2 linked regions of the Oryzias latipes genome follow. Each later gene encodes a partner of the first gene's protein in a complex. Links are inferred from orthologs where the notes say so. Each region holds a gene or a part of one and is shown in the gene's direction. Other genes may lie near its edges. The genes, in order: dld and dbt.

Evidence for each region.
Region 2: the proteins of dld (region 1) and dbt are in contact, whole or in part, in a crystal structure (PDB 3RNM), measured with the Homo sapiens proteins. The link is inferred for Oryzias latipes from reciprocal best matches to the Homo sapiens genes DLD and DBT. Residues at the interface, in NP_000099.2 of Homo sapiens: Ser446, Thr447, Asp448, Arg449, Glu472, Tyr473, Gly474, Ser476, Glu478, Asp479, Arg482; in NP_001909.4 of Homo sapiens: Thr174, Pro175, Ala176, Lys196, Arg199, Leu201, Lys202, Glu203, Leu206.

The regions. Positions count from the first base shown.
Region 1 is NC_019864.2:5,934,914-5,939,312, reverse strand, and holds the start of dld (dihydrolipoyl dehydrogenase, mitochondrial), read left to right. Parts: upstream 1-1,340; 5' UTR 1,341-1,429; coding exon 1,430-1,468; intron 1,469-2,951; coding exon 2,952-3,024; intron 3,025-3,405; coding exon 3,406-3,485; intron 3,486-3,624; coding exon 3,625-3,693; intron 3,694-4,399. UniProt on the Homo sapiens protein: Lipoamide dehydrogenase is a component of the glycine cleavage system as well as an E3 component of three alpha-ketoacid dehydrogenase complexes (pyruvate-, alpha-ketoglutarate-, and branched-chain amino acid-dehydrogenase complex).
Region 2 is NC_019862.2:5,905,185-5,909,528, reverse strand, and holds the start of dbt (lipoamide acyltransferase component of branched-chain alpha-keto acid dehydrogenase complex, mitochondrial), read left to right. Parts: upstream 1-1,325; 5' UTR 1,326-1,411; coding exon 1,412-1,456; intron 1,457-3,790; coding exon 3,791-3,923; intron 3,924-4,048; coding exon 4,049-4,124; intron 4,125-4,242; coding exon 4,243-4,344. UniProt on the Homo sapiens protein: The branched-chain alpha-keto dehydrogenase complex catalyzes the overall conversion of alpha-keto acids to acyl-CoA and CO(2).

The DNA.
Region 1 (4,399 bases):
CATCCCCCTGACCCCAAAAGGGAAAAACTGAATAGAAAATGAATGAATGGATGAAAAGGAGTTTGTGAAAACTTACAGAAAGCATTTGACTGCTGTCATTGGCAACAAAGGGTATATAACAAAGCATTGAGTTGAACTTTTCTTATTGAAAAAATACTTCGGGACACTTCACAAATAGCTGTGGCAATCGACATTATCCAATCCTTTTCTAAAGCTTCTGGAGTTACTCTTAATTTAAACAAATGTGTAATTCTGCTTGTTAAAAACTATTTGTTAACTTCCATTCAAGGTTTTCCTGTGAAAACTTCTGTAACATGCCTTGGTATTCAAATGACTAAAGATATGCAATCCAGAACTTCTAAAGATTTCTCTCCTTTAACAGATAAAACCCAAAAAACCCTTAACTAATGGCTGCAAAAAGATCTATTTCTGAAGAGCAGAGTGATCAAATGGCTCTCTCGTTTGACCTATGCTCAATCTTTACAGGTTACTAAAGCAGTCTGTATTGGAATTAATAAAATATTTTACAACTTTTTATGGAGACACTCACTATCTCCGGAAATTGGCAGTAGTGTTTGATGCCGTACCGTCTGGACTTTGCGTGTTATTCAGGGGTTTCTGCAGCGCTCCTCGTTTGACTCTTCATCCTTCTGATGTGTTCAAATCTCCCCTGGGTATTTTCTGCTTCACCTCCACTAAAACAGTTGAACTCAAAATTCCGAGCTTTGTTCCAAGATCATCTGGTTTCTGTTCCATCAGTTACTTTTTATTGGGCTAATTTTATATCTAACATTGAAAGAAAAAAGTCTGGTCTTTACCTATAGTTAATATCTGCTTCAAAAGATTCAAAGGCTCAAAAAATATCTGTAAATCTTTTGGAGTAGTGACATAAGTTAAATCTCGCATTTCTTTCTTCTTCTTTCTTCTCTCTATTTTCCATTTTTTTTAATTTTAGTTATTTATTTCCTTCTATTTTCCTTGGTTATTATTTAAAAGCCGCTTGTTTAAAAAAATATTTTTACTTATAATTTTGTCTATGAAGACTCTCAAAAAATACTAAATCCAGATGACAGCCCCTACACCTACTACTACTACTTATAATTTTGTTCTTAATAGTTATGATTTTCAAAAGGCCAAAACAATGTTTTTTGTATTCAGAGCTGTGTTTTATTCATATATTGTATTGTTATAAATATTTTATATTTGTATTGTATCCTGCAAATGTTCAATAAAATAAAATAAAATAAAATAAAAAAATCCCCGAACCAACTGCTGACGCTCCGTACCAGTAGGGGGCAGTAATGGGCTTTTCTGTCGTTTTTCAACAGGGGACGGAGCACCAAGGCTGGGACTGCGCATGCGCTAACATCGGAGTCCTTGGCTGGTCGCAGTCCTGAAGAAGAGTCATCCTGTGAGGGGCATAGCCAAAATGCAGAGCGTGACCCAGCTTTATCGCTGTTTGGCTTCAGTAAGGAACTTTAATTTTTTTATAGTAGAAGCCGGCTTTTCTTATACAGATTTCATCTCGGCTGGGACTCTACATAACGCGTCTGTTGTGGTCTTATTCAACCAGCGGCCCATGGAAGCTAAGCTACAGCTAGCTGTTTTCTAACAGTTCCGCTGTGGTCATTTGTACCGACACGGATTCTGATAAAAACAATCAAAAATAAAAGCACACATTCTGATATTTTCTGGATACTGTTGGTGTATATAAGACTAAATACGGCTTCATGTTAAGCCTTTACTTGAAAATTCTAGGCGTCTTATGTCTGCATCTTATATACTAGGACCTGAAAAACCTTTATAAGGACGAAAACTTTGTTACATTTGTATATAAATATGTATATTTGAAAGGTCCTTCTAGACAAATCAAAGGCGACAAATATTCTAAGTGAAACTTCGTTGTTAATAATTAATAATGTTAATATTGAATAACAACCGCGCTGTCATTTTAATTTACATCTCTCGCGAGAGTTGAAAGTGTTGATCAAATCCCTACCCCTTATTCCCTAACTCGTTTTCCTTGATGTCCGCAGACATCCTCTATGGCCTCTTTAGTCCTCTCCCTTAGGTCAATATCTGGACAGGTTCACATGTCAGCACGTTTCTCAAACGTTTGTCCTTTCTTGTCGTGATGTAAACTATTCCAAAATCTCGTGCCTATTGTTTTATGCATCTAAACAGTGTGTGCACTCAAAGTGGCAATGCTGGTGAACATGACAATAGACCAAAAAAATAACCAAAAAGCTATGTAAAATTGATCAGCTGTTTGTGTTTCTATCTGTTGGGTATGGTGGCCCTTAAGTTCAAATCATTCAACAAATCACTTGATTCAAACACATGTCAAAGATCACAACGGCAAATAAAAAAAACTAAATACATGTTAAAAGCCAGCATTATATTTTAGAAAACAAAACAAAATGTAAAAAACAAAAATGAGAAAACAGTTCAGAGAACAAAATTAATTTCCAGAAAACAAAATGGAATGTTACAAAAAAATTGGGAAACAAGATGAAAAACGAAAACAATGAGAAACCAGAAAAGGGAGGGAGGGACAACCTGATGATGTTCAGTGTCCAAGCCAAATAACTACAGTTGAAATGTACAAACGTCCTCGTCCAATCAGCAATGTCCCTCAGTACCTACCTTTTCCGGTTTCTCATTGTTTTCGTTTTTCCAACATTTCATTTTGTTTTCCAAAATGTTTTTTCATTTTTTGTTTTTTCCTTTTTGGTTTCTGAAGTTGTTTTAAAATTATCATTTTTTTAATTGTCGTCGTAATTTTTTCAAATGTTTTTGTGTCGAGTGATTTGTTGATGTGATTTGCACTTCAGGGCCACCGTAGTTTGGTGTAACTCACCTGCATTGTGAGAACTGTCTTAGACTAGAGCTTTTGCTGTGGCACCAAGTTTGGGTGTTCAGCAGCTGTGTGCATGTGATCTACTGTGCAGAGGGGCCACCATCTTCCCTGCAAACTCCATGGAGCTGCCGTGTCTGTCAGAGCCTACAGCGACAAAGCCGCAAGTAAGAAACCACCTTCGTCTTTTTGTTTCATTAAGATGGTTGAAAATATTTTCTTTTTTGTCCAGGTTAAGTTCAATCTAAACTAAGAAGACTGTAGAAGTGAAGATTCAGGGAAGCACTCCTGCTGAAACCAGGGGCTTTCATAAGTAAATAGCAAAAACTATTCCCGGAATCGATGTGGAAATTGCAGACCGACAGCTCACTCAGTTGTCTTTTTTTTACAGCTTTGCAATTAAAGGGAAGTTTTTTTTCCCTCCAAAAGGTCTTTTACTTCACTTATTGTTGCATACTGTGCTACTATAGCCAGCACTTCGCTCCCTGTAGAAAAGTACTGCTCTCATGGTTGTTTGTAATGTAAGCAGCTGTGTTTCTCTCCTGCAGTTGATGCAGATGTCACAGTGGTGGGCTCAGGTCCAGGCGGTTATGTTGCTGCAATTAAAGCTGCACAACTTGGTTTCAAGGTAAGCCCACCTTCTTCAGTGTTCAAGTTCATCCCCAATGGGATTTAAATATTCTCTAATTAGGATTTGATGGCAGCAAAACTAAAGTGACGTCACAGTTTGTCAGACAAATGTAGATGTTTGCTTTTTCTTTCTGCAGACAGTCTGTGTTGAGAAAAATGCCACTCTGGGTGGGACGTGTCTTAACGTCGGCTGCATCCCCTCAAAGGTAACAACCAGATTCATTTAGACTGGATCAACATGGAACTGAATTTCTTAGAGGGGTTGTAACATCCCAGGAGCGTATTGTGTTACTGGATACCAAGTCTCATAGTATGACACAATGAGATATATATTCCAGAGACGCCGCGCTGCGAGGTACATATGCAAAGTTGGACGCCATATTGGAAAGGGCAAACTCTCAACTCTGCTGGGCTACAATCGCACAAACAGACTTGGAAAAACTAGAATGTGACTTTCACCAGGAAATTAAAGCTTTCAGCTAATAAAGGAGAACTTCTAGCAAACATTTTAGGAAGATCTGAGAAAGTCTACTCTCAGAATAGTGAACGTTCAGGCTGATCTTGTAGTGATGATGATGATGTCAACACGTAAACCTGTTGAAAGTTAATGGTAGCATTAGACTTGGCACTAAATCCACGTTTTCTGGCAGGACCATCTATCTGTTTTGTTGTTGTTTGGAGGATGACCTTAGTGTTTGTAAGTGTTTGACCTCTGACCCGCTGAATTGAAGCAGATTACTAGGCGGAGGAAATGAAACTAACCAGGATTCCCTCAGGCAAGAGCCTAGCGTTGAATCCCCGTCCAGGTGGCAGACAGGAGACATGTGGCGAACAGAAAACCGCCTGCCCGGTGTTGCGCAAGTTCCCAAGTCCCTCTGATACAGACAGACTGGGTGGGGTGCACTGGTGGGA
Region 2 (4,344 bases), on another chromosome or scaffold:
AATACATTGCATTGAGTGAGGCTCAGTGCAGTGCCTCAGTATGCTGTGGTTGATGAATGAATGAGAGTCAGGTGTACTAAGAACTGTGGAGATGGTTCCCCGCTGGTAACCAGAGGGGGAGACAAATCTCTGACTTCTGACACATTCATGTCAAGATCAATATTGAAATTTGAATATGATGTAATCGATTTCATAAAGTGAAAATCTCCTTGACATGAGCATTTTGCTGAGTTCTTAAGTTATTTTTTCCTCAGACACAGTTTGTGTTTGTCAACATACCTTACATGTTTCGGCGGAGTCACTTCCGCCTTCGTCAGAACCGATTTGTTCCGTCAAAACATTAAAGGTATGTTGACAAACACAAACCGTGTCTGAGGAAAAAATAACTTAAGAACTTAGTTAACTTTGTAGACACAATAAACTTTACTGAATTATGAGCGTTTTGCCATTACTATTATGTGTGAACTGTGTTCTGAAACGTTTTATGTTTTTTTTAATATATTTTTTTGTCAAAAATTGGTCCAACGCAATGCATTGTCGAAGTGTCCTTGGGCAAGACACTGAACCCCACCTTGCCTCTGGTGGTAGGCGGGCGCCTGTGTTTGGCAGCGGAGCTGCCACCAGTGTGTGAATGTGTGAGTGAATGTGTGTGTGACTGGGTGAATGGGTCTGTGACTGTAAAGCGCTTTGTCCTTGTAGGAAGAAAGGCGCTATATAAGTATACGCCATACGCTATTTACCATTGTGGTCTATATTTGCCAATCTAGTTAGCATCGATGCACACTGGTTTTTCGCAGAGACTTCTGGCAAATTTCTAGGGCACTAGGTTTTGGAATTGTAGATTCGGACAGCACTACAAAATGGCGAACGCACAATTTAGAGCACAATGTAGTGAGTAGTGAAGGAACTCAGACATAACCTTGGTGTTCATGTTTGGAAGCCATATTTTTTTTTTTTTTTACTGTGTTGGGGTGTGGGGCTTGTACTTTACTAATTCTGGTACTGGGGAGTTATAATAATTACCTCCCTTTTTGATTGTAATTTTGTTTGCCCTGCTTTGATTTGTGGTTAATCATGTATTTATGTAAGTGTTTTACATTTTCAAACATATTTTTATTATCTTTTTGGCTTCAATATTGTTTTGGTTAAGCTACTGCGTGTTGGCTGGCCAAAGAGAGGGAATTTATGGAATTTAGTAAACATCGTATTGGCGTTTTGATTCATTTCAGTGTGGCTCCTAACGCAAGAACTTTTCGTTGTGGTTCTTATCAGCGTTTCACTTTATGTTGTTCCCCCCTTAGCCATCGGGGGCGCTCCTACCCCATCCTGCCTAAAAATGGTGGAACGTGAGGAGAAGAAGAAAGGCTGCACGGTGATTGGCTGCTCGTAGGGGCGTGCACACGCAGCAAAGATGGCAGCGGTGACCCGGGGCTCCTATATTTTCGTCTCGCGTTTGGTGAGGAGAACTTCATTTCGGTGCGCGCGCTTGCTTCTTGCACCCCTTTAAACTGCGGTACCTGCAGGCTAATTGCTAACTGTCCGCGCGGGTCAGAATCTGAATTTGTCCAGGCTAATGGTCTGTTAAGGGCCAGTTTCGGCTATCAGGTGATTCTGACCCGGTCCAAGTCACAAGCCCGTGGTGCGTCATTATGCGAGGTAGCTTTAGAGCAGACCTTTTTTGTAAAACCAGGTGGAACCAGATCTTAATTCGTGTTTGGGTCTGCCAAAGGTGCACGGAGCATGCGCAGTAATCACCTGCGGAGCTCAGCTCAAGTAATACTTGCTTTATGCCAAGTTTGTGTTAAATCTCTAAAAGACAATAAAAGTCCTGGAATGAGGGATTGACACGTGCATTTTATAAAATCTTTATAGAAAAAACAACTCCTTTTTGAAGTAATTTTAAGAGGCTTCGGAAATCAGTATATTATCCCACACTCTTGATAAGGTGTCATAAAACTTGTCCCTAAACCAGTAAAAGATAGATCATTATGTATAGAGAACTGCAGACCAATAAGTCTGTTAAACAATGAATGATTCCAAAATATTTGCACTTATATTTGCTAAAAGATTGTAACCTGGTCACTGACGATAAAGCCCGGTAGGGGTGAGTTATACTGAGGATTTGGGCATCAATCCGGTACCAAATGATTACAGGGCTACTATCGCACATGTTGATACCAAAACTGATACTTTTTCTTGAAATGATGTATAGAATAATTTAGAAAATACATTTTTTTGTTAATTAAGTGTATAATTAAACACAATAAAGAGACTTCCGGCAAATAAAAATGTTCAATAACTAATTACAACAATCTGAACTGAACATACATGAAAAATAGAACATTTATATTAATGTCATATACAATAATAAGAATAAGAATAAGAAAACTAACTAGTTCAAAATAAAGGAAAACAGAATGTAACAAAACAACATCATAAACCTACATTAAAAAATAATGCTATTAATAAAATCGGACAAAACTCTGATTTTATCTGAAGGAAAATGACTCACTACTTTAGAAATAATATTTTGTGTAACATCAAAAAGCTTGGAGGAACTAACTTTTGAAACTTTAAATAACTCCTTTAAAGTAAAATGATTGAATAACCCTTTGAAAGGAGAAAATAATATTTGGAACACTTTTCCTAACTATATTTTCAACATGATGGGAGGACTCTGTGATTATAAAATTGAAAAATTACCAACTAAACTTTCTAATTTCTATAAACAAACTCTGCTTGCCTGGAAATTCATTTATAAACATAATTTTTCTCCAAAGGCCAGTTTTGTTTGGAATAACCAAGATTTTCAATATAAGTAAAATCCCCCTTTCCCCAGATGGTATTAGAACAATTTACTTTGGATGAGACGACTTTTCAATTCTTGTGAATATTTATTATCATGAAGAATTTCTTTTAAAATTTGGCTTCCCAGTTTCACCTAAATTATATACAACAGTATTTGATGCAACACCAACCAAACTATTAATAATCCATTCATCAGATTTACTATCTTTTTGGATGAGGTGGATATTTGTATTGGATCAGTTTCCAACAAATAAGAAATCTTTAACATCTGGAACCACACCTGCAAGTAGATTTTACCGAAACTCCAAAGTTATGGATATAAAGTGGAATAAATTCTGGCTCATTGGTAACAAATACAGTTAAATAACAAAATAAAAGAAATATCCTTTAAATCACTACATTGCATATATTCTGTTAAACATTTTTTTGGTATATTTATTCTGGATATGAACCAGTTGTGTACATTTTGTGGATCACGAGAGAAAAAAATTGTCATTTGTTTGTAAAATGTAGAAACACAAAAATGTTCTGGATCCATGTTGGCAACTCCGTTAGTCGCAAAACTGGAAAAACATTCAAGCTTTTAGAAAAGGACATCATTTTTGGACTGTTATTATGACATCCTGGACCTGCACTTTAATTTTTAAACACAACAGATTTTGTTTTGGGAGCAATTTCAAATTTATATAAGGAAATTGTTAAACTTCAAACTTAATTTTGAGCACTTTTTGCATGAATTAATGCAATATGGTAATATTGTCAAACGAATAAAAAAAAGGCAATTTTAAGAAATGTAATTTTTGCAAAGGTACCGTTTTTTTTTCCATATTGTTACTTATTTTTGATAATGTGATGGTTCTGTACCATGGCTGGATATCAGGTCTGTATGCATTGATACATATTTTTTCTCCCTCCCCCTTGGCATTCACACTTTTGTTGTACCTGTTGTTTATAAATAAAGTTTTCTGCTCTGTGCCCCCAGCTAAGTCGGCACCTCTGCCGTTGGACCGTTCGGCAGCAGACCCTCCGGTGTGGCAGAGCTTTACAGCCACTCACCGTTAAATGCAGCAGAGAGTCGCAGGTATTCTCTCTCCGTGGGCTACACGCTGCCTCAGGTGAGCCCAAGACCTGCAGCTGTCACCCGTCTATCATGTAGTAGATGGAGTTACCATGGCAACCCACAGCCTCCATGTTAAACCTTGATTAAGAAGTCACTGATGATGTCACTGTGCTCTTGTAGCATGTTGTGGGCCCGTCGTCCAGTTCAAACTCTCTGACATTGGAGAAGGCATCATGGAAGTGACAGTGAAGGAGTGGTATGTGAACAGCAGGCCGGCTGTGATTGGCCGAGTTTCGTCCTTCAGGAGGGTTTCAGACCTGAATGGTACTGGTTCTGTCGGACTGTTCTGACGCCGCCTTTTTTGCCCGCTGCAGGTACGTAAAGGAGGGGGACAAAGTATCCCAATTTGACAGCATCTGTGAGGTCCAAAGCGACAAAGCGTCGGTCACCATCACCAGCCGCTACGACGGCGTCAT